Linked DNA regions of Medicago truncatula. The protein of the gene in region 2 interacts with the protein of the main gene of each other region in a pairwise test. Links are inferred from orthologs where the notes say so. Each region holds a gene or a part of one and is shown on either strand. Other genes may lie near its edges. The genes, in order: B3 domain-containing transcription factor ABI3 and protein ABSCISIC ACID-INSENSITIVE 5.

The links.
Region 1: the proteins of protein ABSCISIC ACID-INSENSITIVE 5 (region 2) and B3 domain-containing transcription factor ABI3 interact in a two-hybrid assay, tested with the Arabidopsis thaliana proteins (2 studies listed by BioGRID). The link is inferred for Medicago truncatula from reciprocal best matches to the Arabidopsis thaliana genes ABI5 and ABI3.

Annotation. Positions count from the first base shown.
Region 1 is NC_053048.1:27,918,483-27,935,170, forward strand, and holds B3 domain-containing transcription factor ABI3, read right to left. Parts: upstream 6,757-16,688; 5' UTR 6,415-6,756; coding exon 4,579-6,414; intron 4,145-4,578; coding exon 4,052-4,144; intron 3,964-4,051; coding exon 3,863-3,963; intron 3,748-3,862; coding exon 3,695-3,747; intron 3,614-3,694; coding exon 3,537-3,613; intron 3,116-3,536; coding exon 2,957-3,115; 3' UTR 2,651-2,956; downstream 1-2,650. UniProt on the Arabidopsis thaliana protein: Participates in abscisic acid-regulated gene expression during seed development. Regulates the transcription of SGR1 and SGR2 that are involved in leaf and embryo degreening.
Region 2 is NC_053048.1:49,352,074-49,368,092, reverse strand, and holds protein ABSCISIC ACID-INSENSITIVE 5, read right to left. Parts: upstream 7,769-16,019; 5' UTR 7,502-7,768; intron 5,659-7,501; 5' UTR 5,632-5,658; coding exon 4,534-5,631; intron 4,250-4,533; coding exon 4,178-4,249; intron 4,080-4,177; coding exon 4,050-4,079; intron 3,925-4,049; coding exon 3,829-3,924; 3' UTR 3,372-3,828; downstream 1-3,371. Other genes in the region: F-box/LRR-repeat protein At1g67190, read left to right, coding at 1-717. UniProt on the Arabidopsis thaliana protein: Participates in ABA-regulated gene expression during seed development and subsequent vegetative stage by acting as the major mediator of ABA repression of growth.

The DNA.
Region 1 (16,688 bases), about 21 Mb from region 2:
TAAAGTACAAACCTATAATGATAAGAGAGGAGTTCGATACACATATTCTAAATGATGATGAAATGCGTCTGAGAAAGATGGGTTGTGCGGTGTTTCAATTATATGTCATCGATGATCTATTCAGGTACAATATACGATTTACTTAATGATTTGCCGTTTTCTGTTTCTTTATCGTAAGTATTCATGTGATTGTTGAATTTTGGTATCCAATAGACTGTGTAGACAAAACTCTAATACCTATGAGTTTAAGCAATCATCTCAAAAGAAGTCCAAGAAGAAAAAACAGAAGAAAAAAAAAGGTGTGGCATACACATATATGTTTTATTTATATGTTGTTTATGATCCTTTCTGTTTATGAAAAGATTTTTTCTTGTCTGTAGGCTAAACAAGAGGTGGAAGACCATAAATCTTCAAAAGAGAATAAGGAAAATGATGTATTGAATGAAGAGGAATTGAACTATAAGATGTAAGAAGTACCTATAAGACACATTTTTTTTTATCGCTTTTATCATACGGTATAAAGTATTTAGAGTAACAAAAGTAATATGTTATCTTATTTCAACATGCTGAAAGAAATAACTATAACCTAGGATGGTTTTTTATTGTTAAAGAAGCAAAGTCAATCTTCATAAGCAGAAAATTTAGTGTGTAGAAAGGAAGAATAGAAATTTGATCATGTGGATAAAACATAAAAATTATTTAAAAATATAGTCCAAATTATCTCATATTCTTTTGATATATAGACTATAGTTATAGATAAAATGATGTGGGAAACGTAATGGATGATATTGATCTTCCCTTCCATTCCCTTGTTTGTTATATAAATAAAATAGACGAAGTCAAATAGTATATGTATGACTGAGGATTGTACTTACATATACGGCTCCTTCATTACCTTGTCGACATCAACAATCCAACAATACTCTACTTCTTTACGTCACGTACACGTTATACACCTTTTTGATATCCTAATTTTTTTCTATTAAAAAATATGACTTTTCTATCTGTTTATCATTATTATTTCTTGCTACATGCAACCTTCTTCAACTTATGATTGTCTTTTTTGCGGTATTACAACAAATATTAAGTGGACAAAAAAATAAACAAATATTAAATGAAATACTAAAATACATCTTTTTAGATTAAACTTTTGCTTTTTAATTTTACCCTTACATTTAAACAATTTTATTATTTTTTTCATCTTCGTATCGATATATAAAGGTAATACACTTTTTAGGTTGAATTTTTTCTTTTCACTTTTACCCATTCATTTAAACAATTTTTCATTTATCAATTAAAAATTAGTTAAATCTCATTCAAATAAGAACAATCAACGACAATAAGAGGAACAATTCACAACAATAGACTGCTTCAGCTTTCTTGTTCGCCAAGTTTGAAATGCTTATATATGAGGTGTTTCTCCGGTCTTAGAGAGAGATGAAAGTGAGTCAAACTAGAGTTGATCAAAAGAGAGAATTTTAAGAAGATCAAAAGCTGAGAATTGAGTACTTTTGGATTATAGTCTAGGGTTGGGAAGCATTATGAACACCTTGATGAATGAAATCATAGTGTCATTTGTTCAAGGGAAGGCCAGAAAATGGTAGAACCTCAATAGGGTTAGCCTAATGGTGTTGGTTTGGAACCTTGGAGTATGCACTTCTTAAGGTCTCGTGTTTGATTTCTCCCTATGTCAATTTTGATGGCTTTAAATGTTGTCCTCGCAAGGGAATTATGAGATCATACAATTCAGATTAGTCGGTCCTTAGGCTGGATATTGAGTTTTATTTTAATGAATTAAGGTTTTTGAAGCCTAATTTCTCTTAAATTTATGTATCTATTTATATGAAACTCGTTGATAATAAATTGAAGAACTGCTATTTTCCACATATGTATAGGTCAAATTGAATCGAACTTAGTAAGTGATGTTCATTAATTCACTTTGGTGATTGGTTGCTACAATTTTTCCTACACTCAGCATAGCATTGGTGCGATTTTATTCAAATTCACGACACAATTTATTCAACTGGTGCTTTTATTTTATGCTTTTTCTATAATATTGCAAATGACAATTTATGTGTAAACGGAAAATGGAAGAAAAAGGAACCATTTTAAAGATTTTTAAAAAATTTATGATTCAAATAAAATTATAATGTTATGATGAAATATTTAGAATAACATTTTTAGAAATTTAGAGTGTTTGATCTTCTTAATTTAATTAGTACATAGGACTTGTTTTTTAATAGTTTTTTAAAAATAGATTTTTATAGTTTTTTACTATAATTTTTTAGAAAGGGTTTCAAATAAAAATTTTGTTCGAATATAAACTTATTTAACTTATCTTAAAATGTCATTTTAAAATTTCATCATTTTGTTATAAATTTTTTTGGATATGAATTTTTTACAGATTACTTTATTGAAAAAAGATGTGTGATTTGTTTATATAAAAACTAATATTCATAATTTATACACATTAACCCAATAAAATGATCGGAAGTGTCCACTAATATATATAAAATTCTTACATCTATTGTAAGGTATCTTTTACAATTGCCTACAGAATTACTCAAAAATAAATTATAAGATTTTTCTCTCGACAAATTAATAAAATATGCAATTTGTTAACAATTTTATATATAAAAAAATCTCAAGATCAATACACGAAAATATTCTTTATTGTTTCATCTGCACCATGATTTTCTATGAACTTCAAAATCAAAGTTACAAATGGAGACAGCTCAAGTACAACCCTTACAAAGTTTAAATACACATATCCACATACATCATTTTCACACAACAATTTGCAAATGAATTCCAAACAAATAATACTACAGATCCTTATAAGCTTTGCATGTTCAGCTCAAAGTCTCTTTTATTGACTCTACTCTACTATATTTAAATATATATTATTATGCATCTTACTATATCTTACATATATATTAATTAATTGATATCTTTTTCATTTTTTTCTCTTTGGTGAAGATGGCGTGCCATTATTATCCACTGCAGTTCCAGCTAAATTTGCAGCATTATTCCCATGCTGGTTTTTCTGTGATTTTCCTGCTTTTTTTGCCTCTGGTTTTGTTCCTTGTTGCCTCACTTTAACTCCCCTTATCATCTGTATCACAAATTATATTCCCACCAATTAATTCTCAACTTTTTAATTTTAAAAGAAAAATATATCTCATAATAAAGTTTACTGTTGTATTTTAGACGGTTGGATTGAGAACAAACGACTCGAGTTTTGGTGAGACCTCGAGCATGGTTAATTGGTTCAAATGATTCAACAGCGGTTGAACGAGATGAAAAATGTTAAATAAAAAAATGTGAAGAATATTAAAAAGAATGTAAAATATGAAAATCGGTTTGAACCAACCACGGTTTAACCCGAGGATTCACAATTCAATGAGTTGAACGGGATGAGTTTAGTCTGGTTTTTTAAAACTTTGGTTTGATCTCGATTCAATTACGCCGGGAACTAGGAAATCCAAATCCATGAACATTAAGTAAAAGAAAACATTATAAGAGAAGGCTCTTACAAATTTGCCACACTTCACATCAGAATATATCACTATGAAATCTCCTTCTTGGAGTCCATTAGCTTTCACAAAATCACCTACAAAATGAAAATGAATACATTATGAAAAATAAACAAAAACAAACAAAGCACCAAAGATGAATAAGAAGAATAACTCACCGGTGTTCTCCAGCAAATACATCCTGCTTTTGTTGTTAGGCCAATATCTGATGCTCCAAGAAGAAATAATCAAAAGATAAAATTTTAGTCCCAATGTATCATCATCATAATTTATAAACATAAAAAACAAAATGATGAAGTTAAATTTGTCCATGAAAATTTGCTTACCTATAACGCATATTCCAAACTCGAGAAGTTCCAATGTCTTCCATTGTAATCGAAATTCCATCTCTTGCCTCCAATTCTGGCAAATGTGTTTCTGCCTCTTTCTGATGTTTTTGCAATAAACTATGAATCAATATTTTATTTTCTCATAAAATGTAATGAATAATTGAAAAATAGAAAATCAATAATTACTTTTGGCAAAACAATTCTCCCCAGACTTCCGACATCACTTTGCTTCAAAACCTTTTGTAGAAGGAACCTCAAGTTCTTTTCTGGCTTCCAACCCTATCAATCAAATACATCAAACACATTATTCATAAAGCAAGATAGTTGTGTTTAAAGTCGCACATTTTTTATAATTTGACAGTTATAATTGAGTGATCGGATAATGGCTGTTAGTTGAAGTTATAGTAATGTTGCAAACCATTGTATTGCGATATCTGCATAAGCTACAATAATGTTGCAAACCATTATATTGCGGTATCTGCAGACAAATGGATAAATACCACCACAACTGTGGTTGCTACGCCGTTGCAGAGACCTTTAAAACCATTATATTGCAGCCACAATTACGGTTGTTGACCATAATTTAAAACTTATTCAAGTTCAATAACAAATGATTTTGCATTTACATGCATTTCTAATAATCACACATCGTAGATCATATAAACAACCAAAACATATAATCTAACAATAATATAAAGCTGAAGTCCACAAACCTGTCTCCTATCGGATGCACTTCGACCCTGGTGAGAACTCTGTGTCTGCATGGTGGGGCGGTCACGGTCCACTGGAGGCTGCGTCGGCTCAGCCGGAACAACAGGTGCCAAGGAGGCTGCTGTCCCACCGGTCATAGTCTGCCAATACATCCAGTTCGCTGGATTTGCATGAGAACCACCAGCAGCAACATTGGTGCAACTATCACCACTACCTAATCTCGCAAGTGGATCAGAACCTTGAATATTCTGATGATGGTTAATATTATGATGCCTATGATGAGACATAAACCGCCGTTGCCGAGCCATCCTCTTCTTTCTAGCTTCTTTTGTAGCAGAAGGACCTAACCTCATCAACCTATCACCAGGACCAGGAAACAACTGATAAGAATTATATTGATTTCCATAACCTCCAAAATTCATACCATGAGGTTGTAGCACATTGTTGTTATTTTCCACAAATGATTGATTGTAGTTTGGTGCAACATTGAATTGAGAAGCACCCCATGAATGATTTGATTCCAACATGTGATATTCATTAGTAACAGCAGGTTGGTAAGGGTTAATGTTATTTGAAACAGAACCATTTGTGTAAGGATCAGCAACAAATCCAACTCCAACTCCAACCATTGGTTGTGAAAATTGTTGTGGAGGTACAATGAGAGGTGTTTGATCTAGCCATGATGTTTGGTTGAAACATGCGTTCGATTCAGGTGCAAATGTGTTTGCTGTGTTTTGGTTCTGACACGGATCTTGAAAATGATGTTGTTGAGGAACAATATTTGAAGGTATTATTGTGTTCGTGTTGGCGTTTTCTTTGAGTCTTTTGTTATGAAGATGACTAGTTTGAACCCATTCAAGAATGAGCTTCAACAATTGTTTCATCCCTTCTTTTCCACCACCTAATCTCCTAGCAGCACTTTCAATCGTTGATTTCTTAAGCTTCACATTCCTCAAATCATTCGCGGAGACACTGTCTTTGTTCGATTTAAGCCACTCCAAGAAAACCATACTCATTTCATCACTTACACCATCACATGCACCTAATTCATCTCCTTGAATACTCTCTTCCCCATTTACACCGTCACACACAAAAACATCGTCGTTATTCTCCTCGATATTCACTTGTTGCGGTTTATTTTCCCGATCATCATGCACTATCATCGGAACTTGTTGATGTTGTTGATATCCGTCTTGCACTTGAACTTGTTGCTCTTGAGTGAAATCCACTAAAGGGTTTTCATCTTCATTTTGAAAAATCGAAGCAGGGTCAAAAAATTCATTAGCTTCTAAAAGCTCCATGTAACCAAAAGTATCCATAATGTTAACATCATCCATGCAATCACCACCACCAACAACAACATCATTGTTAGAAACACCAAGATCTTGTTGCTGTTGTTGAGAAATCTCCATAGAAGCAGTTGATGACAAAGTTGTTGGAGGATGACCATGATGATAATCTAATGGATGACCATGTTTTTGATAACCTTGATGATCTACTTCAACATCTGATTTCAAAACAGCCCAAGAAGCTGCAGATGAAGAAGAAGCTGAGGAAGAAGAAGAGGTAGTAGTTGTTGTAGTTGAAGTACATGCAATGGTTTTCAATGGTGTTGAAGATGATGAAGATGAGGATGATGATGACATGCATGGAAAATCAGGTAAAGGAGGAAAATCAGCATAGAACATAGATGCATCATCATTCATATTCATACCTAAAAGATCACCATCTTGATCATTTGTAGTATTATTAAGCCAATTTTCTTCTGCTAAATTTCCAAAACCAACTTGTTCTGTTTCATTCACCAACTTTGCATGCAGATCTAAACCACACTCCATAACAAGATCTAACTTTATCTTTAAAAAACTTCTCTCAAACTTGAAAAACTTTGAAGTTTGATTACCCTTTTGTTCAAGTATTCTTCTGGTGTAATTTTTTTCAGATATGGTGCAAGAAATATGGTACTGTTTGAGGAGAGAGAAAGTACAAAGAGAGAAAAAAATGGATAATTTTGTTTATGTACTTGTCAAGTACAAAAGGAAAAGATCTGTTTAAGGAAGCAAAAGAAGATAAGATTCTTTCAAATCTTATGAATGGATTATGCAACAGAAAACATCTGATTCTCAACAAAAACACTTACCAAGAGAGAGGATATCATTATCAACAACTTGGATAATATATATAATATATATTTAATAATGAAAACCTCTCTTACCTTCAAAGAAAGCGACTTTCACTATTCCAAAAAGTGGGTTTTTTATTGATTTTTTATTCTCATTTGGGTCATTATCATCCTAAATAAACAATCATACACAAACAACCTAGGGTTTTGAAAGGAACACAAAGAACTTGGATGAAGAAATTGAAAGGACTAAAATCAAAACTTTAGAAAGAGCAAATAACAGAGTGAAGCAGAAAGAAAAGATTAAGATTCTTTGTTCACAAACCCAGAAAACCAATCAAATTTTTCAGAGAAAGAAAACCCACATGCTTAAACTGATTGAAAACTTAGTCTTTTTTGGAGAAAAAAAAAACCCACCCATGTGTGTATTCTGGTTTGTTCTAGGAAGTTACATAATTGTTTTGCTTTTGTTAATTGATTTTATTTTCTCTTTCTTAGATAAGTTCAAAATGGTTTTTAGGTAGTTTCACACACACACAAAAACAAAAGGTTATGTAAGAGAGAGAGAATAAGTGGTTTTTTGAGAGAAAAGGTAGTTTTGGTTTTGGAATCAAAAAACAAAATTTCTTGCCGCTAGTTTTGTCAAATGAGGTTACTCCGGAATTTGTGCTATAGACATTCGTTACATTCTCAGTGGTGGTACTAAACGGTGCCACAGTCTTTATTAGAAAGTAAGGTCTTCTGCTCCACAAAGAAAAATTTAATTTTTAGGTGACCTTTGATTAATGTTTTCATTTTGTATTCTTTTTGTTAAATAAATTAATGTCTTACTTGTTTCTACCAAAAAAGTATTATTTCTATCATTTGTTACAACTGTCACATTTTTTTATTTGGAATTATCCATTTGCATGTGTTTTTCTTTTATCTAAATATGTGTTATTAACATATTAGATTTTTCTTTTTTGTGTAATTTTGTCAACTTAATGCAGCCTAGAAATGTTCCGCAATTGAGTGTTAACTCTTTGAGTTTATCGAGTTTACACTTTTAGATATCAAAATCGTGTTAACTTGAAGGTAAACTCGAATTTTGGTAAAATTAGAAGGTTTGATGAGTTTGATCGAGTTAACACTCGGTAAACTCGTGTAAACTCGACCGAAATTTACGAGTTTACATCTAACCAAAAAATCGATCTTTTTTTTTTGGGCCATTTTTTCCAAACCCAATTTCAATCCTACAAGCACAAAGACTGAAGCGTTTACTGAATAGTTAACTTTACAGTAACACGTTGTTCCCGAGATGAAACGTTTCTTTTTCTTTCTTCTCTAAGTCCTCAAACCATGAACAGGGAAGCACATACTAGTTAGGGTTGTGATTCCGACGATGGAAATTCAGATTTCGACGCCGGTTAGGATTGCAGTGGTGGTGTTTGTTGACCTTTTGAAAAAATTAACTAGTTTATTTTTTTAGATAGTTTTATTAACAACTTTAGGAACTTGTGAAACTTGCTTTTTTGGATAGTTTTATGAATGACTTAAACTTAGAGACTTATGAAACTTATGATTTTGTGCGTTAATTTTTGTATTTTGATGCTAAGTTGAGTATAACGTTTTATTATGGTAGTTTGGTATAACTTGTCTTTGTAATTAAGTCATATTTTGCACTATCGACGTATTTACAATATTATATTAGCTTATATATGTCATGCATATAATAAATTCTACATAATTTTAATTTTAGCTAAACTCATACGAGTTCTCGAGTCGAGTTTACTTAAAGAAAATGAGTTGAGGTAAACTCTCGAGTTCTAAAACTTTACCGCTTAATCTGAGTTTTTTTTGTGTGTTTGTTATGTTCAGATTGATAGATCGATTTCAACTTGTCATATATTTAGCTATGATCACTTGGGTATCGACACTAGGATTCGCGGACACCACACAAGTCGATGTTACTCATTTTAAAACACTCCTATCTTAGTTAAGTTACCACAAGTAGAAAGCATATACTTAAAATTAATTGTTAAGATTTTTTTTTTGTATCTTTTGTGGTGCAAAACTAGTCTGAATTCCTCTCAACCGACTCATATATGTCATGTTTAAAGCGGTAGGAGGAAGAATTTTACCACATAGGTCACATACAACAATTTAATGGAGAACACATTTGAGATTCAACCACCCAATTTCATTTATCCCTACTAATATGGAGCAATGTGCAAAATAAGAGATCTCAAAGCCCTCTATAAGATTGCTCTTCACGCCAAAAAAAAATTCTTAATTCCATTAAGATTTAATTACAACTCTTCAATTTATCATATCATATTTGAGTATTTTAAAATCAAAAGAGCTATGCAATTTTTTTTGTGTGTTGGCAAACTGTAATTGATTGATTACATCTTCGTCACTCACAAGTTTTATCATAGTTTCATGGTGATACATTATTAGCACAAATCAATTTTACGCTCTTTACTTTTGTTTGCTTTGCATTCTTCTTATCTTCATCAAGTTTTATCTCATTTATTTTTCTTAAAGATTTTTAACGAGGCATAAAATTATATTTTTATGCACCCTTGTTGTCTATTTGAGTTTTGACCCAAGACCCCAATTTGTTTTTATTAATTTTTTTTACAAGTATGATTTTTTAGTGCCAAGATAATTGAGATTTCTTTATTATCATGTGATTTTTCGCACTCTAATTCTTTGCCTAAAAAACATCATAGTAAAATTATTTAAAACACAAGACATATCAAGAATATATCAACAATACAAAAAAGATAAGTCAAAAAGAAAAGAAAAACTGAATACCTTCAAATTCATCAATAAAAACATCAACAAATATACTGAGACCGAAACATACGCGCGGAGTTCACGCGCCTAAAAACCACATCCATAAAATGAACCAAACCAAAAAATGATAATCAAACATCATTTAGTGGAAAGAACGATTCAATTAAATATCACCAATATTTATCGACAAATCCTAACTCAATAGATAAATAAATTCTGAAATTGTTATGTTGAATATCGTGATCGAAGTTTGAACCTTAAATTCTACACTTATATGTGTGAATATCTAATGACTATTATCGGTTTGTTTATCTACCGTAGAAAATGTCAACAATACTTGACAATTCTTAAAAAAATATATATCATATCCAAAAAAAAGTGTCAACAATACTTGACAATTCTTAAAAAAAATTATATCATATCCAAAACAAAATTAAAACAGACTAAAATATGGTTTTGATCCCTGCAAATTTACTTCATTTTAGTTTTAGTCCATGTAAAACCAAAAAACATCATTGATTACAATTCAATGCTACTATCACAAGGATCTGCGGGCACAACACACAAGTCTATGCTTCTCATTCAAACAACACCCTTATCTTAGTTAAGTTACCGCGAGTAGAAAGCCTCCTTAAAATTAATTGCCATGAAATTTTTTATATCTTTTGTGGGAAAAAATCAGTATGAATTCCTCTCAACCCCCTCCTATTTGTCGTGTTCAAAGTGGTAGGAGGAAGAATTTTACCACATAGGACCATATACAACGATTTAACTGAGAACACATTTGAGGAATCAACAACCATCCAATTTCATTTATCCCTTCCACTATGGAGCAATGTACAAGATAATAAGAGATCTCAAAGCTCTCTAAAAGATTGCTCTTTAGGAAGAAAAAAAAATAGTATTAATTCGATTAAGATTAAATTCCAATTCTTCCACTATTGTATCATATTTGATTATTTTAAAATCAAAAGTGGTATGCAATTTTTTTTTTTGTTGGCAAGTTATAATTGATTACATCTTTTTCACAAGTTTTGTCCTAGTTTCATGGTGATGCACTATTAGCACAAATTAGTTTTATGCTCTTTACTTTTGTTCGCTATGCATTCTTCTTCTTTTTACCAAATTTTATCTCATTGCTTTTTTTTTCTTCAAATTGCTAGGTCAAACGTTGTGATCGAGGTTTGAACTTCAAATTCTACACTTATATGTATGAGTTTCCAATGAATTTTATCAATTCATTTATCTAACAAAAACGTATCAACAGTACTTGACAATTCTTAAAAAAAAAACTATCATATCCAAGACAAAATTAAAAACATCATTGATTACAAAAGATTCACGATTAAATAAACTCACGATTTTAACTTTAGCGTTGAAATTTTTAAAATATTATACAACACTTGGATGGTTACTAAAAAAAGCAAAAATACATAATTTGTCCCTTAACTTAATTTCAATAACACTTTTCTCACTTATCTTTTTTTTTTTCTTCTGATTTAATCTTTAAGTTATAAAATATAAACATTGTTATCCTTTTTATATTAACAAAAAAAAGACAAAAACTCATTGATGACAAAATCTATCATTTGTACTAGTGTGTCGGCATGTAGTAATATTTATAAAAGTTTATCTCCACCTGGATTTTCTTGTTTAAACTTGACTACTAAGATTATGTTAGGAGAAATATATATAAAGAAGAATTTTGAACTTGGCAAATTGGTTGGTTTGAATTCCATAAAAGAAAGAGAAAGCGACTAGGTCATGTTAGATTTTCTTTTTCAAATTGTTGGTAACTACAAACTACGAAGCCAATGTGACTGATTACTTGATTTTAAGATAGTGAACAAAATAGCCAAGTCCACATCTTGGTCACTAACTCTCTTCAACGGTTACTTCTCCCTAATGTCTTCGGTGAGCCCATAACCCTTGATGGTTTAAGAACGCCAAATTAAGTACATGATAAGCGGATGATATACCATTTATTACATTCATATATCTCCCATTATATGTGATCTTTGAGTGAAAGCAAAACCTACTTTATCCTTAATATACACTAAGTCTTTTGTTGTTTTAGAAACCTTTATTTTTAATGTTAATTTAAGTTTTAGGAACAATTTATGCTTGCTAGTGCTGGTTTGTATGGAAGGTCGTGAAAATGTTCAATGATGCATTGCTAAAGGATGGAAGTTGTATTAAGTTACAAGTTTACGATGTATCAGAGTTGGTCTAGAGGATATGCACTAAAATGGACCCATAATTTTTGTTTAATAGAGGCCCAAGAAAATCAAAGTCATGAAGGACCTGAACCTGATATACACATGGATAGACTAGGCCAAAACCCAACAAAACCAAAAACCACCAAAGATTAGTCAAGAAATCAAGGACTTTTACCGAACACAAAATCAGAAAACTACTATGAAAATAAGACCAAAATAGACAATATCAAATCTTAGAATTTACCGAACAAAGAATGTATCATCGTGGACCAAATCAAAGGCCCTAGACCCAAGCAAGTTGATCATAGTGTTAAAGATGTCATGACTCGTTGGCTTAACAGAATGTGACAACAAATAATCACATTGACTTAGGCTTTGAGCAATATCGAACTTTAGTGAAGCTTCTTTTGCAGAAGTAATCGCCTCAGTGTTGACTGATGGTTCAATCACCGCATCGAAGACCTTTAGTTACTTTTAGGATTAATCAGAGGTTGATACACATGTGTAACGCCCCAGATTTTGATCCAAGACATTACGCCTAAATCATTCTCATTTTCGAAAATTACTACCATTTTTTTTTTTTTTTATCATTAATAATAATTCTTAGCAAAATCTATACAAAATTCTTAACATAATTTAATTAAACTTCTCAAACTAAATATCCTTCAAAATTATTACTAAAATTAGAATTCAATTAAAACCCAATTTCTTCCCCGCACGCGCTTCAAGCAAAACACCAAAGCATACACATGTCTTCTTTGGTACCTAAAATGTTAGTGTAAGGGTCAATTTCCTTATCCAAATTGGTTCATACTCAAAGCACAAGAAACAATGTCATAAAATAGATAGTATATATCAAAACTTCTCAATTAAAAAGAAATAAGGAAAATACATTCAAGTTATATGCTTTAAATAAGGTTCACACAATTTCTTTTGCTTTATAATAGTTTAATCACTTATCAACACACAAATGTATAACAGACCCAATGCAATGCAATTATGTGTAAATTGCATGCTTTTAGATTCTACATGATCCGGAAATAACCCGCCACACAGGCACCACACAGAAATAACTCGCCACACAGGCACCACACAGATGCATATGCTAATGCATGATCATGAACAATGAAGACTAAATCCAGCCACTTAGGCACAACAATGCAATATGATATTCTCCCGCCACTAAGGCACCACACAGAAATATATTATTAACCCACCACTAAGGCAAATGCATAGTCAAATAAAATACCCGCCACTAAGGCAACCTCATAAGCAAACACAATCAGATATTAACACATCATCATCCACATGAACCAAAATGAAATATTTTCATAAAACTCATATTACTATATTTTCATTTCTTTAGTTTATCAACAAAATCCAACACTTCTTTCCCAATACCACAAAAAAAACATATATGCATATCAAAATAAAATAAATGTCATTCTACATAACATTTTATGCACACATCATATAAAATATAATTAAACTAATAACTTTTATAAAAGGTTAAATTTTACCATATAAATTCATATTTTAGTTTTTTTGTCTTCTTTTCAACCGACAAGAATCTCTACCTCTAATTCATAACATCATCCTAGTACTTAGTATGGACGTATGGGAAAAAAGTTCGTACCTCATGCATTTTTCTTTCTAAATCACGACTCTAAGCCGCCTCAAACTTGCAGCTACGATGCAGACACAATTTCTTTTACTCCCAGAATTAGCCCGAACGAATGGTGAACGAAGGAGTAATTGAAATTCTACGGCCACCTCTTATGGAAAAAGAAAAAGGCTTATGATTTGGAAATAATTTAGTAAAGTGAGAAGAGAATAAAATAAAAGGACATGTTTAAAATAACTTACACAAAATTAGACAAGATGAAATGTTATGATTGGATTAATGGACACAAAAAATTCGGATGAAATGTGTAGGCCGAGTAAAGAGTAGGAGAATATGTTTGTAGACTTGTGAAGATGGTAGGGAGAAATGTGGCTCACAAGAAGTTACCAAGAGAACAAGTTTGTTTTGATTAAGGCAGGGTTAATGGATGGGTTTATTTAGTGTAATTGTCACAGAAGAAGACAAAGGCGTGTGACAATAAGAAAATTGGTGTCTTGGTTTTAAATAGAAATAAAGAATAAATAATGTTTGGAATCATAAGGATCTTTTAGAGAGATAAGTGTGTATTTGTGGTTTGTGTAGCAGATAGTAGGAAACGTTATTGGTCTCTTCCTAATTGTATGTTATCCCTAGGAAAATTATTATAGCTAGATATATGAAAAACCGCCCCTCTTGAACAAAAATCAGAAAAATAAAGAAAAGAAAACTAAGTTTATTTTAATTGAGCCACTCATAGCATAACTATAGGAGGTAGTTGAACCATGGGAGGTGGATTCCTTATCTTTAGGAAGGCATACTAATAAGTAAACAACAGCAACGTGACTAACAAGAGAGTAGTGTTTTGACTCAGCAACAAAAGGGGACACTCATGGTCAAATAAGTAGAATATATACTTGAGTAAAAATAGGCATTGACAGCACAAAAATAACCACGTACAATACAAAATAATAGAAGATGTGGTTACAAGGATGATAAAATGAAACATGTGCAAAAAAAAAGTGTGCTATTAACACTTAAGTAGAAATCTAACTAGTATATTTGTCTAAAATAAAATAAAATAAGTTATATAAAGAGGTAGAAGGTTATTCTATTATATAGTCATAGCAAATTGATCAAATATACTAAATAAGAATAATTAAAACAACTAAAACTAAGGGAATAATTATTTCAAAAATAAAGGGTCTTAAATTTTTTCTTAAATTCTTTACACCTAAATTAAGTTGTTGAATAACTAATAAACTAAAATAACATATATATATATATATATATATATATATATATATATGAGACAGGATTCGTTGACACCAAATCTTAAGCGTTAATTTCTCTTAATCTAAAGGTCAATAATTATTCATCAAAATTTTAATGTGGGCATTCAGTATTTTATATCTCATTTTTAAGACTATTTATTTTATTCTCTCTCATCAATCTCATTCACCTTCTTCCCTAAAGCCTCATCTCTCCGTTAAGCAAACTAGTTCTACGGGTTATTGATCCTTCTTCTATAATCTCAATAACAAAATTATTTCTATATATCTCCAACAAAGATAATTCTTGATTTTTTATTTTATGCAATTGGCAGCACCTCAAATTAAAGGTTTTGGTTATACATCTGTCAGCATCTCAATTTAAAGGTTTTTCATTTTTTCAACATCATAAAACAATAAAACGTAATAAGAGTATTTTAATTAACTATTGTTTTCATGGATAATTAACTATTTTTTCAATTACCTGAGTTATTGATTTAATTGTTTTGGAAATTGAGAAATTAATCTGAATGAATTGGTTGCTGTGAAGAAGATAACGAATGTTTTTTTTATAATCATATGGATACAAATATATCTCTTTAATTCAATACATTCCTCTCCATTTTCATTAATTTGGAATAAATTGTCCTTGGAAGAAGGAGGCGCACTACAAGAAATCTGGTTTTTACTGGCGGAAATAATCCCTCAGTAACGCCAAAAATCCCTCAGTAGTACATATTACTGGCGAATATGAATCCCTCAGTAATATGAGCGTCAGTAATGTTACTGGCGGAATTTTCCCTCAGTAATGGAGAGGTAGTTTTGACAAAGCATTACTGAGGGATTATTCCGCCAGTAATATTTATATTGAACTGCATTACTGACGGAAATTTCAGCCAATAATGTACTTCTCACTTTTTTTTTTATTCCTTTCCACTTTTTAATTTTAATTAAAGAAATAAAATTTATTAAACACAAATAAATTAATGAAATAAAGTTTTAATTTAATAAGACAAAAATTAATTAAACTGACATATATCATCATAATATTCGTACAATCCATAAATCATTTTCGTACAAAACCATGAATATATCAATAATATTCGTACAATCTAAAAACTAACATAATAAAGTAATTATCATAATATAGGAAAATTTGATCTTGATCTCCCTCCTAACTCAAAATCCTTGCAAATCCTTCAACTCTTCTTGAGTATTAGATTCCTCAATCTTTCAGCAGCTCAAGCAGCCCTTTTGTTGGTTGGCTCAAGTACAGGGGTATATTTAAAATCATCAATTGCTTCTTTGTAGTAGCCCAGCATCTCTCTAATTGTACCTGTATGGAAGTACGCCTTCATACTCTTTTTGTCAAGACTTATTGCTTTTGTACAATCTGCCTCAGCTTGGAGATAACTGCCAAGCTTAAGAAACGCTTGAAGGATACATGGTCTTTAGCGTGTCAAGCAAAAAGCGATCACCACCATACCGAGCTATCAGGGAAACTCTTAAATGTTGCTTGACCCTTAAATGTCAATTAACATGTTATCAAAGCCTCTAGAAAACAAAAAAGTGAAACAAGAAATTAACATTAACTGAACAATTCAAACATCTCAAACACCCACAAGTTTTAGTGACAAAATCAAAATAATAAAGAAAATTGAGGTGAGAGTTTATGCATTTAAACCTTCACAGAGTCATAGTTTTTTTTTTTAACAACATACCAGCAGCTGCAGAAGGCCTTCAGACCGCGCCAGCCTAAACAACACACCAACAACAGGCCCCGACACAAGCAATACCTAAAAGGGCAAGGGAACGATACACCAACAACAGGCCATGACAGCAAAAAATAACAAGGACAATAGAAAACAGCAGAACCGAAAGATAATCTTACTATCTCCATCTCTCAGAAATAATTTACATGTAAAGATTCACCACACCCAAATGACCAAAGGACTCTTTCTACATTCTCCAAACAATGATTTTGTATGATTTATTGTATTATACAGATTAGCACAACCCTCTTGTATAATATTAAGATCATTCATTGATGGGTTGAGATTTTGAAGAATTGTTGACAAAGAACATGGTAGAGTAACAAATATATATATATATATAGCAG
Region 2 (16,019 bases):
GTTTGTCCAGAAATCGCTATGTCAGATTCAGAGGCTTCAATAGAGCTTAGCAGCTCTTCTTTGAAGGATTTCTTTGTCGAGTCATATAGTTTTGATAAACTCATATTAGTGGCGGATATGCTCGAGAATCTGCATCTGAAAGATTGTTCCTTTGATGCTTTTGAATTGATCAATAAGGGGACATTGAAAGTATTGAAGCTTGATGATGTGAGTGTCATCCATCTTGACATTGGAGATAATACAGAAAACCTTGAGATCGTAGATGTGTGTAACTTCATATTTATGTGGCAAAATTTTTATAATATGATCTCAAAAGCGTCAAAGTTAAAAAAGCTTCGGCTGTGGAGTGTTGTTTTTGACGACGAGGATGAAGTTGTTGATATAGAGACCATTTCTGTTTGTTTTCCTAGATTGACGCACCTTTCCTTAAGTTATGATTTGAAAGATGGAGTGCTTCATTATGGCTTGCAAGGGTTGTCTTTTCTGATGAATGTGGTTGTGTTAGAACTTGGATGGACTACAATCAGTGATCTTTTCTCAGTTTGGGTAGCTGGACTTTTGGAAGGATGTCCTAATCTAAAAAAAATGGTCATTTATGGCTATGTTGCTGAGATCAAAACACATGAAGAGTGTCAAACTTTTACCAAATTCACTGAATTCATGATTCAACTAGGAAGAAAATATAGTCATATAAAGTTTGAGTTTGAATATGAGTAGGAGGTTCAGCCACATGCATTCATTGCCGTCAAAGTATTGGTTTGATCTCATCCGGCGAGACAGACAAGAAGGTACTTTCATGTTCCATGATTTTCTTGTGTCGTTTTCCTCAAGTAGCACAAGCATTGCTCAGGTGTAAAGTAAGAGATTCTTTGTAATGTAGAGATCTCTGTTTTTTTGTTTCGTTGTTGTTGTTGTTGTTTATCTTTAACTTCTACCCCTCGATCTATATTTCGAAATACCAATATAACACCATTGCAACCTAAGGATTTAAATTGGGGTCGCGTTGTGGTCCTAAATATTGTGGAGGATCTTAATCAAACAGTTTGGTTCAACCTTAATTGCATTTGATTTACAATTGTGGAGACATCAAAGTAGCTATGCTAAATATTGTGGATGATCATAGATAGTCAAATAGTTTGATTCGACCTTGCTTCGACATTAATTGCAGTCACTTTACGATTGTGGAGACAAAATTATGATGTTGCAGTCTAAATTGCGGTGTTCGTCATTTTTTAAAATCCTTCCACAATCCTTCATTTTATAGTTTATTCCGTGTCAAAGAAAAAGGGGGGCTGGGGCTTATGAGCTGTTGATATTCACGTTGCTTTTTACTGCTTCACTATACCAATAACATATATGTGATAACCTTTATAATAGAGGAATTTAATGCTAAAAAAGTTTAGGGGGAGGAATGAGGATTGAATCCATTTTAAGTAAATATTGAAGAAAAAGTTCAGTTATGATGAGTTTTGGAGACTCACCCAGGGACAAAAAGAAAGTCTTAAAAGGTTCAAAAAACGCTTATGGAGTATTAACTTACGTTTTATCTATCAATGACGTCCATCGACATTGAAACTTAAACTCACTCGCTATAAGTGTGTATTTGGTTTCTCTTCCAAAGGTGCCAATTAATTGACATGTTTAATTGTTTTGGAGTATAGTTGATTTTGCTTCCAGAATTTATTCTATTTGAAGTTGAAATTTGTAGCATCTGATTCTATAATTGATTTTTACTCATAAATTTGAAGTTCAACTCATTATTACATGAATATATCTAAACACAAATCACTTTATCTTCAATAAACTTAAAATCAGAATCAATTTACAAAATCAATTCACTCGATCAGTTTATCACTCCAGAACCATTTATGCACAAACTAAATTACTAACTAGGTCAATCCTCGTAAGCCAATCCACTGTGACTTGTGAGTCTATTATAGATAGGCTAGTACTGCATTGCACATGTTTGCTGTGTTTATTCCACATTTTCCTTTCCTGGTCTTTTACTCGTGAAAAATGTTTGTGAATACAAAGAGGGGCATGATAACATGTGCATACATATTACACTTGATCTTTACCTGATCTTTACCAAAAGCCGAGAAAGGTATATACCTTAAATAATATGTGCACATGAAATAAGTAAAATATTCATATCGATTTTATGTTATAGAGGAAAAATAAATTTACTTTGGGGTGGCATTTAGGGTGGGTAGGAGGAATTCTTTCCCACCATAGAAAAGTCTCAATTTGCTAGACAGGTGGCAGTTATGCAGGTGGGACTTAAAAAAAAAAAAAATCAATTAATTTATTTTAATGCCTTGGTTTTACACCTCCCGGTTGTCTTATGCTTCTGTTATGCACCCCCATTTATTTGTTTGTTAATTTGACCATTATACCCCTTATTTCCTTTTTTTTTACGTCAGCTCCCTTAATTTCTTTCGTTTCTGTAACATAGAATCATCCACTGTTCTCCCCCAATAAAAGCCTCACAAAGTCATCATGAATGGTAGATCTTGGTTTCATCTTGCACAATCCAGTAGCAAAATGTGTTGTAATTTTATTTCCTAGGTTCAATCATCTCCTCCCCATTTATCTCATATTCTTCGCACCTTTATAAACTTTGGATTTCTTGAAAAGCTCTGCTTAATAGAATGTGATCTGTTTTGATGCAATTGATATTAAGTTGCGATTAATTTTTTGCTTTTGGCTATCTGGTTCCGATTCTGGCATATTGAAGGTTCTGTTTTGTTGCTGTTTTCTTCATTCTTTGGTTTTTTACAGTCCCTGTGGTGTATTGTATTCCTTTATCCCCGTTATTCATTTCTTATGATGATAGTGATTAAAAAAATTGCAGGTCAAAAAGAAAAGAAAGCAGTGATTAATTTTATTTGGAAGCCCAGTAGTGAGCAGTGACTACATAAAAAAGATTGGAAGCCTAGATTCAAATACATGCAACCCAAAATAATTATAACAAAAAAGTATTATTTGTGGGGTTGGAATTTTTGTAATAGGCTTATTTACAAAAAGTTTTCAACAGGTTGCCAGCTATGAGTTTGACTGAATTTGGACCATTCACTTATAATAATACTATATCAATGGTTTAAAGTGACACTTTTTCATGGTAGGAAAGTATTCCTCCTACCCACCCTAAATGCCACCTTACTTTGGACTCTACTATGGTCTATTGTCACTGACCTTGTGCATGCGCTTGTTTTTAGCATTTTACACAAGACACATACACGTTTACATACACCATTGCTTCAAAATGATGAAGATATGGTAGTTTTTTTTTTTTTAAGGCTAAAATAAAGTATATTTTATGAAAAAAGGTATTCATCTTTCCAATGTGAACTCAGTTGCACTAAAACACATTATCCAACATACCATTCATGGCTGGTACTTCATTTTAAAAATAAGAATAATTCTGGCAATTAATTAAGAAAATCATCTCTACTTCAGTTGCATGAATGCCATTCATAGCTGGTACTATATTGTAACTCTAAACAAAAATAATCCACACACATAGCAAGGTAACTTCAAACATTAACTACTATATAATGTACAAATTAGAGTAGCTAGTTATATCATTTGAAAAGAGTCATCCATATTTGATGATTCAATCCTTGCAAACAGTGGAAAAATTTGCTCTCCAACAAAATCCACACCACCATTCCTTTGTTTTTTTTTCCTTTCTTTTTGACTGGTTTTGACTTTAGTATATTCTTCTTGGTTCTTGATCTGCATCATGTGCACTTTTCTCAGTTTTAACTACACAAGAAGATGCACTTATGCATCAAGGATTTCACTCTCTACCATGTGATGTTTTCTTCACAGATGACAACTTGTATTCCTTCTTAAGCCTCTCAGTTTCTCTTTTGCTTTCTGAGCTTTCGTTTGAACTCTCACGTTTGTTTCCTCTGAACACTGCATGAGATAATCATAAGACAGTAATTTAGATTTGATTTCAATCCATTTGATTCAAAATAAAAGGAGTTTTAATGTCTCTAAATTTTCTATGGCTAATTATAGTTTAGACCATCATTGGTTACCTGTTGTCTTCTTCTCCTCTCGAGTTCAGCCTGAAGAATAAAAGAAGCATGATCCTTGTCAGTATAATTGAATCACTAAAGAAAAACTATCAAATATTCTTATAATAGTTCATGTTGTTTGGCAGTACCAGTGCCTGTTTCAGTTGAGAATTCTCTTCTCTTAATTGATTCAGTTCTGCTTCTAATTCAACTGTATAGGCCTGCAAAAGCAACAAAGAAAAATGTGTCACAAAGGAGTCACATTAACAATATAATGGCAAATATTAAACTAGATTAAACATACTATTTCTAATTTGGATGTAAAGAGTTGATAAAAAATTGACATATTACCAATTCTTCTTAAACTAATGTTACCTTCAATAGCATATAAATATAATGCTGTATTATCTTGATCATATATACATAAGAATTTCAAATAATTCATACATTTGTGGATACATAATTTTAGATTAAGTATAATATGATTGGTTAAAATTTCAGGAACCTGTTTTCTGGCTCTAGATCTTGCTGCTGACTCTCTATTCTTGATCATCCTCCTCTGCCTTCTCTCCACCACCCTTTCAACAGGACCATCAACCATCCTCTTTCTTCCTCGTAAACCATTCATATCAATCCCAAATTGACCACCCGAGTTTTCGTTTCCAATCCCATCCGATGAAACCGGACTAACAGGTCCGCCCATTCCCATAGTTTGTGCCACTGCCACGCCATAACCGCCCGCTGCTCCATTCACCACTCTCCCTCCGTAACAAATAGCTGGCGGCGGCGGAGGATACCCCGTACCTATACTATCTCTCGTCTTACCATTCCCAACATACCCTGAACTCGAAGGTTCTCCAACTGCTCCACCTCCCTGTGCCACCGTTTGGTACGGTGGCGCAACAACGTTTAGATTCCCGCCGCCGCCAATAGCAAATGAAGCAGCCTGAGCCATTGTAGAGTTGTTGTTCGGATACACTGCGGCGTAATGCTGCTGCTGCGGCCGGTGAGATGACACTGCTGCTGCGGTAGGTGGTGGTGCTATGGCAACCGGCATACCAGACTGTTGTTCCCTAACTACCCCTGCTTTAACCAAGAAATCCTCCAATGTCATCTCGCCAAAAGTCGGCTGTCGAGGGGTAGACTCGGTATTCTGAGCAACATTGTTGATGTTGTGATGGTTCTGTTGTTCTTTGTGTATCTCAGACCAAACTTGTTCCACAGTTTTCCTGCAGAGAGGAGCAGGAATCGATAACGAATTTTGGCGAGGAAGACTTGCCTGTTTGCTAATCCCTTTCTGAGCTGCAGACAAGTTATTGTTGTTGCTGTTATTATTGTTGGATGCAGCTTGTTGTTGGTTTTCTTCTGCATTCCAAATACTACTTAGAAACTCATCCATGTTCATGGATCCGAAATTCTTGCCGCTATCACAGAGGCTGTGTTGGAACTCGTCGAGGGTGAGTGAGTATATGGATGAAGATTGCCTTCCGAGCGATGAAGAAATGACATTGTTGACGTCATTCCTGATCGCTTCTTCTCCTTCCCTTTGCAATGATTCTACCTCCCCTTGTTGCCAATTCATCTCACCTTCTCTTACCACCATATTCTTCTGCTTGTCTTATTTTCAGCACTGCACCAGACATTATATTTGTCAACACTCGTAACAAAAAAGCACATTAACAACATAATTATTAGATTAATAATACAATGTAATATGAAAAGACTTTTTAAAACACATCAATAATTTGTGAATGCAAGAATTCAAATCAATGCAAAGTTGATCAAACAAAAAACTTTGTTAACGACAAATAAGTCAACATAAGCTTTTTGTTAACAAAGAACCTTAACAAATGTTAGATTCCTTTGTCTCTTTCAAAAAAAAAAGTTAGATGCCTTTGTCAACGCATGAAAAAATGGACTGCTTCATGACAATAATACTACAATACAGCCAATTTGCTTATGTCATGTATTTAATAAGAACTTATAATATGCTGAGAAATTGTTGAGGGTGTATTGAGTAATGTTGAAATTGTAAATTTTAATTTCTTTTTTGGGGATGATTTATTTATTTTTTATAACTAAAAGACATCAAAATTAGAGCAAGTCTCAAGGTTGAAAGAGCGTTCATAGAAAATACTTATAAATTGTCCACCAACAAAATTCTTACACAATAAAAATTGAACTCACGCCCTTATAAAGTCAACAAAATTCTTACATTGACAATAAAAAAAATTGAACTCGCGCCCTTTAGAAAGTCTGAGCCAACTATTTACCAACTTGACCAACTTTTGTTGGCCATGAGGACCAATACGAATTTAAAATAATTTTATAAAGTGTATAAATAAATAGTTTTTTTTATGAGTTTTAAATATGTAAAATTATTTTGGGGTGGGGCTACACCTATGTCACACTCAATTCATTTTCCTTTTTATATAAAAAAAAAAAAAAAAAAAACAGTGTCAATAAGTTGGATTATTTTTTTCTCCCCTCCAACTCCCTCTATTATTTGGGTGCATTTCAAGATGCCTCTAATTCTAATTTAGATTATTTAATATTATCCAAACATGATCAATTGTTGGTCTTGATTCTCGAGTTCACTGAATTTCACATAGAAAATCCAATATTTGATCAGAACCAGCTCAAAAGTAAGCAGAAACTGCACCACCATCGCTCTATCAATGGAATAATTGAATATCGAAGCAACTACTACTTTTATTATTCGGTACAAAAAGAATGCTTCAGTGCAAAGAAAACTTCACACTTCAGATCTATTTATGACAACATATTATTTTAAAAAACGTAATTTACTTGGGATAATGTTAAATTTTATCAAATTAAATAATTTTTTCTGCTAAAAATGTTTTTTATTTTATTTTATATAATTATAGGTTGACAATTCTTAGGCACATAAAGTTGATTTACTCTTCCAACTAATTTTTCTATACTCTTCATTAAGTAGAAGAACTATCAAATTCAAAAGCACTTGATCCTATAGCTACCTTATAACTTGAATTTTATTCTAGAGAATAAAAAGATTCTTTATTCACATGCATTAAAAGTACAAGGGTTGTTTTTGGATGATCGGTTGAAAAACTATAATAAATTAAGTTGTGAGGAATATTTGGTGGGTGTAGAAAAGGATTGATGTTTGTACACAAAAGGAAAAGAATGTTGCCTCATTTGGAAATGATTTGGTGGCCAAATGAAGGAAGAGATAGAATAAATTAATCTATAATAACAAAATAGCATATTTAACTATCTACCAAATAAAATAAAATAAAAGCATATTCTCTAAACTACAAAACTCAAAAACTCAAATGCTTGCACTAATTAACGTTCAAAATTATAGGTAATCCAATGAAATCAAACCAAAAACGTTCACAAAGTTTCCATGCATATAACAAAATATAGAGAAATAGTATATTGATGAGATCATTATTTCCTTTGAATCAAACTTTTGGAGAGAAATATACCTGGAAATGCAAGTTGTAATGTTAAGCTCCTTTTGTCTCAATGTCAAAAGTTTTAGAGCTTACTTAAGAAGATAGTGAGGCTGAATAGTGAGCAAAGAGTGTGCTAAAATTATATAAAAGATTTTCCACAAACGAAAGACCTGCATATATAAGGATCGATTAGCTAAAAATTTAGTAACTATCTTCGTCCATTTCGTCTAAGGGTACCCCACAAAATAAGGCATAGAAATGAATAAAAAGAATGGATGAAAGGCCGCAATAGACAGAAGAAAATTCAGAGGGCAAGTTCCCGAGTTAAATCGCATGATTTGCCACGTATAGGGCAAGTGTCGTCTCTACAAACCTGTTTGGTTGCAGACATATTTTTAGCACAACACGTATCATCTCTATATTTTTATTTTCTAAATAAATAAAAATAGTACTGTTATGTATTATTTGGACCCTATATTTTATTTTTGGTTTTCGATGTAATCCTTTTTGAAACACTTTAAACTCTATATTTTATTACATGTTATATTTTTGTTAAAAAAGATACAACAAAACTATCTCGGAGAGGAAAAATGTTTCACTTCATTTTATCAATAATAAAATATTGAATACATCTATCCCCATGAGCTTAGCTCATTTGGTAAGGAATAATGCACAATATGTGCAGGGGACGGGGTTCGAATCCCGGACACCCCACTTAAAATAGTTAATGATTGTGTACTTCGTTAGTCAAAAAAGTTTCAGACATTAAAATATTGGCTTAAACTCACTTTTTGCCCCCTAAGTTTGCAAAAGTTGCAATTTTGGCCTCCTATTAAAAAAAATGGCAAAAACAACCCCCCATGTTTTCCCTCTTTTGCAAAACGTCGATTTTGACCGAGTCAACCATATGTGGCATGCCACTTGGGTATTTTTTTTATTTTTTATTTTTTATTTTTTTTAATCCATAAATTCCACATGTATAATTAAAGAAATAAAAAAAATAAAAAATTAAAATTAAGAAGAGAGGGCACGTGAGTGAATGAACATAACACCATTGTTGTTTCTTTTGTCCATAATGCTGGAAAGAATGCATTTTGCAAAACAAATTCTCCCACTTCTTTCTTCCTCTTCCTTCTTTCCTAACCAAAACTTGCAAATTATTAAAATTATCAACATTGAGGAGCAATCCATGAAAAAATGTAGCAGTTCATCATCGGCAACTGTCATAAGAAGCGTAGCTTCTGGAAAACAAACTGAAAACAATAGATTTAAATTCCGGCGCGGTGGTGATGTTTTCCGGTGTGGTGGTCGTCGGAAAAATGTCATCCAAGCATAATTTTTTGTGGGTTTTGTAGGGAATACGAAGGAGAGTACTTTTATTGTGGTAATTTATCGAAAAACGTTTTGTGGTGGTCTAGATCTAACAATGAAGGTGGTGGTTTGAAAACTCAAAATATCTCCAATCCAAAAATAAACTTATGATGAGATAGAGAAGGAAGGGTGAATAAATATTATGTATTTTGTTTGACAAAGGATGGTTGGAAGCACCACGTTGGGTGGCTGGAAAGAGTGGCCGGAAAAAGGGAAGAGGGAGGCGGCAATTAGGAAAGAAGGAAGAGGAAGAAAGAATTGGGAGGAAAAGAAAGAAGAGAGAGCATAGAGACTCTCTCACTCACGTGCCTCTCCATTTTTTTTCTTTTTTGATTTTTTTTAATTCAAAAGATACACGCGTGGCAATTTTAATATTTTTTAATTAAAAATTTACACATGTGGCATGCCACATATGGTTGACTCGGTCAAAATTGGCATTTTGCAAAAGGGGGAAAACATGGGGGGTAGCTTTTGCCATTTTTTTTAATAGGGTGCCAAAATTGCAACTTTTGCAAACTTAGGGGGTAAAAAGTGAGTTTAAGCCTAAAATATTGTGTTAATTTTGATACATATACTTACTTATTGTCATATCAATCCTTATAAATACTTATTTATTTATTTTTATCATTTTCGTCTATATATGAAAAAAGTTATTATGAGTATTGAGCGATTATTTTAGCATTAAAGTCTATTTCGATTAACAAAATACATCATAAGAAACTATTTAAAATTTTGATACATTAAAAGACTATTATGACTACTCTTTATACATTTAGGAACTAAAATAAATATTATCCAAAATATAATGATAGCACTGCGGATGAGTTCGCTGCTCCAATTAAGGTTTGAGCGACCATATTTATTTTCTGTCTAAAGAAGTCAATATAAGAGATTTTAAAATTATACAAAATTATGTTTGTGGTCCTTAAGTTTGACCTTATTTCAAATTGATATTTCAAAAAGAAATTCTTCTTAAACTGATCATTTCTATTACATTTTGTTTATGTTGTTAGCTTTTAAGTTATGTTTATCTTTTATTATTGGCCTAATTTTTGTTATATTTTGTGATTATTTGATTGATAATTTTTATTTCATAATTAGAGATGAACAACAATCAAATGTTCATTTTTCACACGTTATATTAGAGATGAATTACTCATTATTTTGAGTTTATAAGGATTTCAGATTTAGAAGTTTAGATTTAAAGAATAAGAAATAAACGGATAAAAGAAGATGGATACTTTTGTTTAAAAAAAAAATGACATGGTTAGAAGTCTAAAACGAACATTGAAATAATCACACATGAATTTGATGATAGGAAGCAAACAACCATATCGTTTCTAGATAAGCAGAGTGCATATATAGCACTTACTCATGGGTGGCCTTGAGGGTGGGCGAAAGGGGCGGCAGCCCGTGCACCATTATTTTAGAGGCATTAAATTTTTTAATTTTAGTTAGTATTTTTTTTTTTTGGTGGTCGAGATTCGAACCCCGGACCTTGCATGTATTATGCATTGTCCTTATCAACTGAGCTAAATTCACGAGGACATTTTAGTTAATAGTTAGTATTATATAGATATATTTCTTTTTAATTCGGTTTAATTAATTATAGTGAAAATATATTTTTAAAAAACTTTGATTATAAATGAATCTTTTGCAACAAAAAATGTAAGAAAAAAACTATTAAAATGATTAAAAAGACATAATTTTATTATTTCGTCCAAAGCATAAAAAATTTAAGGACCGGCCGCCCTGCACTTACTGTGAGGCAAACTGGTCTATATCTATTTGTTAAAGGGTTAATTAAGTTTTTGGTCCCTATAAATATCTGCAGTTTTGTTTTTAGTCCCTACAAAATTTTCCGTTAGTATTTTTAGTCCCTATTAAATTAAAATTTGTTTAATTATGCTTAAAATTTTAAATTTTTTAACGATTTTTTACATACTTGTTTAAAACATTATAAAAGGTTCCGCCACAATAATTTAGCTCAAAAATTTTATTTTTAGGTCCAAATTTTTCTTAGTTTTATATTAAATTTTTGGCGTTTTAAAAAAAAATTATATTTTATCGATTACATGTTAAATAATTCTAATTTTTTATAAAAGAGATTATTATAATGTTCTTAACATTTTTGTTAAAAATCATTTAAAAATATTAAAGGTTAAGTATAATTAAACAAATTTCAGTTTAACATGGACCACCATATACTTTTAGTCATTGTAAAATTAAAATTTGCTTAATTGTGCTTAAACTTTTAAATTTGTAACATATTTTTCACATACTTACTTAGAATATTATACAAAGTTCCTCCGCAAAAAAGTCACTTAAAATTTTATTATTAGGTCCAATTTTCATTAATATAATCTTGAAAATTTTCCTTTTAGAAAAATTCATATTTAGTTCATTACATGTTAAAAAAAGTAAAAAAAATTTACAAAAAAGTGTCTTAAGATGTTATAAACATGTACGTAAAAAATCTTTCAAAAATTAAGAAGTTTAAGCATAATTAAACAAATTTTAATTTAACAGGGACTAAAAACACTAACAGAAAATTTTGTAGGACTAAAAAGTGTAATTTATTTTTATAGGGACTAAAAACAAAACTGCATATGTTTATAAGGACCAAAAACTTAATTAACCTTAGTTAAATAATCTTGAGCTCACTAATACTGCTGAATCAAAAAAGTAATGTATTAAATAAGATAGGATCTCTAATATGCATTACAAGCTAGGCATGTTGGATATCCACATTCTATCTTGAGGGAGGTGTTACAACTTGTTAGCTGTTAGTTACTAGTATATTAATTCTGTTAGTTAATTAGTTATATTTGACGTTGTGTCTGTCTTTATTTTGTTCATTATTCAATCACAACAAGCTTCTTCTTTTTCTACGATAAATTACAACATGCTTATGCTTAGCTTGTGATACTTTCATATCTTTATTTCCTTTTTTAGTTTTAAGGTAACAGTCTTGATTTTTCATATCATTCATCATATACATATACATATAATATGCATGTAAATGTACTAAGACAGAAGTTCAAAAGAATACATTGGGATTTCTGCCTAGGCCCATTAATTAGTATTCAAGCATATGATTGATCGGTGTATTAATCAAAAGTTCAAACCAATATAATATACAGTTATATAACTTTTACATATTTAACGGAAACGTCGAACTAATTCTACTCTAATCCTCAATAGTTATATAAATCTATTTCTTAACTTTATGGCATGATGTGGGACTTCTTTCCGTTCTATTGGGTCTAGTTGGAACCAAATCAAATCGCCTCCTCCATGTAAACGTGCTCCTGAATGACTTTTATCGGTATGAAACTAGTTGTCCCTTAATATATTGCATTCGATTAAACATATGTTTGGATATATGGCCAAACTTTTAAATTTCAAGTTTCGAGACAAATTTTGTGGTGAAAAAATCAAAGCTACAAAATGTAGTTTATATTAAACCCATATCCTCGTGGTTCCTTTTTGGACTGGATCATCTCAAGTGACTGAGGAGTTTAGTGAAATCATGACCATTGAAAAAATAAAACATAGACAATTAAATGCAAAATTAGAAGAGATAAAGTGTTTAATAGTAAGTATTAGGGTTGACACTGCAGTAAACCGTAGAGATTTTCACTGCGGGGAATGCATTCCCGTTCCTTCCACCGCACAAACAAATATGTAATAAATAGGGACAAACTCGTGAGAAAAATCACAATTCAATATTTATTTTTCCAACTTATGTATAGGCATTTGCTTTGTGCTTCTGACTTAATAATTAGAAGAATCATTTTCTTATCTTACTCCAAATAGCTTGTGAATATAATAAAAAATATATTAGAAAATAGTTTTATGGTTTAGTTTCATTTTGGGCCTAGTCCTTTTCTTTCTTTCTTTTTTCTTTTTTGACTTGGCCTAGTGCTTCTTTTTTTTTTAACAACCTAGTCCCTTCTTTTATTATTTTTGATAAAAAGAAAGACAAAAGAATATTCGCTTGCTATTTTTTTTTTCTTGAATAGCATTTTTTTGTTGAGGCAAGCATTCGCTTGTTAATTGGCATCAATGACTTTTGCTTATGTTAAAACTTAAAACAGAAAAAAGGAACTAAAAAAAGCTAAACATGGGCAGCTTCTAGCATTTTCATCAAAAAGATATTGAAACTTTAGCCAAAAATAAAGAGGAATGTAAGTACATTATCTAAATTTAGACAAATAGATGTCAACTTATACCAAAATCAGCTGATGATTAAGGGTTCGATTAATTCCATCAAATTTTAGAATCACGTCCCACATATTGCACATAAAATAACTTCCAATTCAACTAAAAAATAACACATTTCATGTGTTTCCAAATGTTAAAATTATAAATTATAAATGGAAAAATGCTAACGGATTTTCTCGTAAAAAACAATTACGGGGTTATTTGTTTAACTAATAGATTATTATCTTCTTAATAACGTATAAGTAAAAATAAAAAATATTCATGAATTTTTTAATTTTGAAAAAATAGTAAAAATTAGGCATTAATCCATTTTTGTCCATAAAACTATATATGTTTTCTTGTTATTTTTTTTAAAGAATGTTTTCTTGTTTTACTTCTTAGAAAAAAATATTGATTGCGATCCCTGATTTTCTTACACTTGTTATTTTGCTTTAATTATTGTAATATTTTATCCATGCTTTTGTCGTGATAATAAGTCGAATATCTTTTTTTTAGACTTGTAGCTAGAAATTTACTACTTAAAAGTGAATAAATGAGGTCCGGAGTTTGAACCCCGTCCCGACCCCGACATATTATAAGAAAAATATGTTAGTATTTTTTACGTTAAAAAAATTATTAACAGTTTGGTTACCTCTTAGAAGATAATTTAATAAAATTATTTTTATTTTACATAGACTGATAGTTCAATATGATGACAAAATATTTAAGAACAAAAATAAAATAGTGTGCTACGGGGATTATCAAGGACTGAGGAGTATAGAATTCAATTCTTGTCGCTCAAATTCTCCATTCTCCTAAGTCCTAACATAGTTAATGGCCCTTGGCCTACCTCTAACTGGTTCTCAGATGGTGTGGTGAAAGTGGTCGAGATGGGTAATTGAGTTTATTTTGGTTAGATGTTTGGGTAAGAAATTTAGGTTTTGGGGAAGAGGTGGATTTGAATGCTCTCTTGGAGGAGACCTCTTTTGGGATCAACTTTTGTTGGAAAAATTGATGAAGCTTGGTGGTGTAACCTTGACTCCTGAGGGAGAAAGGTGGTCTTGGGTGAACGACTCTTCCAATCATTCATATGTTCGTTATACCTATGAACTTTTGATAGATAGGAATCTTTGGGTGTGTTTGATTTGTTCAAAAATTAAGGATATGACATGGTAACTCAATCTGTAGAGAGTTTGAGTTATAAAATAGTTTTAGAGATAGGATAAATTGGAGGCAAATGACAGGACAAAAACATAAATTCTAGTTCTTCACCAAACCACATCACAACTTTTTGTCTCACATACAAATTGTCTTAAATATCAAAATAACATTTTATCCACCAAAAATTATTCACATTCATACAAATCAAATTTGTCTTGTGTTATTCTACTTAATTTGTGCTTTGCTGTTCTGTCCAATATTTACTTTCATTTTCTCTAATAAATAGGTGAACGATGAGCAAGATGGATTAAATTAAATTTTTTCCTATTGGAAGTGATTTTTAGCTAAATCTGAGCGGTCTTCGTTTACTTTGTACAAGATGATAACTAATTCGTTGAGGTAATTGTGAGGATTCTTTCTTTCTCTCTTGAACCCGATTTTCGGTGCCTGTTGTATTTTGATTTTGTTTTCATTTGCACCGTTTTATTGTAATTTTCTCTATTTCTACCCTTTACCTTGTACTATTAGATTAGAGTACCATTTTGCTCGGTTTGCATATATTTCATATGCATGCACACACGCAACTCCCTTTCTCAACAAAAGAATACAAAAGGAACATAAAAGCATACTCCTTCCATAACTCATAGTAACTGTTGTAGTATGACTTAAAATTTGATGAATGAAGAATATTGTTGCTAAAAATATAAAAGATTTGTTTTAAATATATTTTGTGCTGAAAATATATTTATGGACAATAAGTATATTTTTGTACCGTATGAAGAACGATTTGATGCAAATATATTTTGAAAGGGAATATTATATTTTTGATGCAAATATTCTTTCATTGAAGGAGAAAGAAAAAAAAAAACGTATCTTTAGTGTGGTATTCGTTCCAAATTTATGAGTTATACTTTTACTATAAATATAGACTTTGTATCAGACTAAACTTTGAGATAGAGGGGGCTGAAACAAGGGTTTAGAATGACAACAACAAAACTAAGGTTTGTATAGAGTTTGTCTCTTAGGAACAAACACTAGGGTTTGAGGGTTGATTCACCTTGGGAAACACTATTAGGATTGAGTCTCTTGGTTACACGGGAAGAGATTGAGACTTTGGGTAGAATTAGGCGGGAGACTTATTCTTGTAACCCATTGATATCTCTTTTGTAAAGTTACTCATTATATAGTGAAACGGAGGGCTATTCTCTCCCCCAGATTAGGTCAATTTGGACCGAACTGGGTCAACAAATTCTTTTGTGTTCTCTCTTTCTCTCTCGCTGTTTTCTACTTTTGGCTTGTGTTTATAATTGTTCCATACACTTTGTTTTGGTTGCTTGATTATCCATTGCTCCACACATCAAGTTTATTATTGGCGTGATTTCTCATCGAATTCGCAACAGTAACATTTTATTTTATGCAAAGGAATGAGGAGCAGAATGGTTTATAGTAAAAGGAGAGCTCCACCTTCTTGTTTTGTTACCAATCTTGGAACTTGGTTTGAATCTTAGTTTTATTCTGAAATGACATAAGTATGTATTTAGTCTTGAACATTTGTGGTGGGGTGGAATTCCTTTAATTTATGCGCCCTGTTCCTCAAGATATTCTTCCAACAAAATTAAAATAAAGACACTATGAAGGAAAGAAAGAAGAATCACACCACATAAACAAGGAATTGAATTTTGAGTTTATGCAATTAAGGAAGGTTCTCCACGCAAGTCATTCAACAAAAATGTCTCCATGTCCATGGTACTAAACATTTTTCCTTATATGCTAAAGAACATTGTAAATGTGGTACGTTCAAGAAACAAAA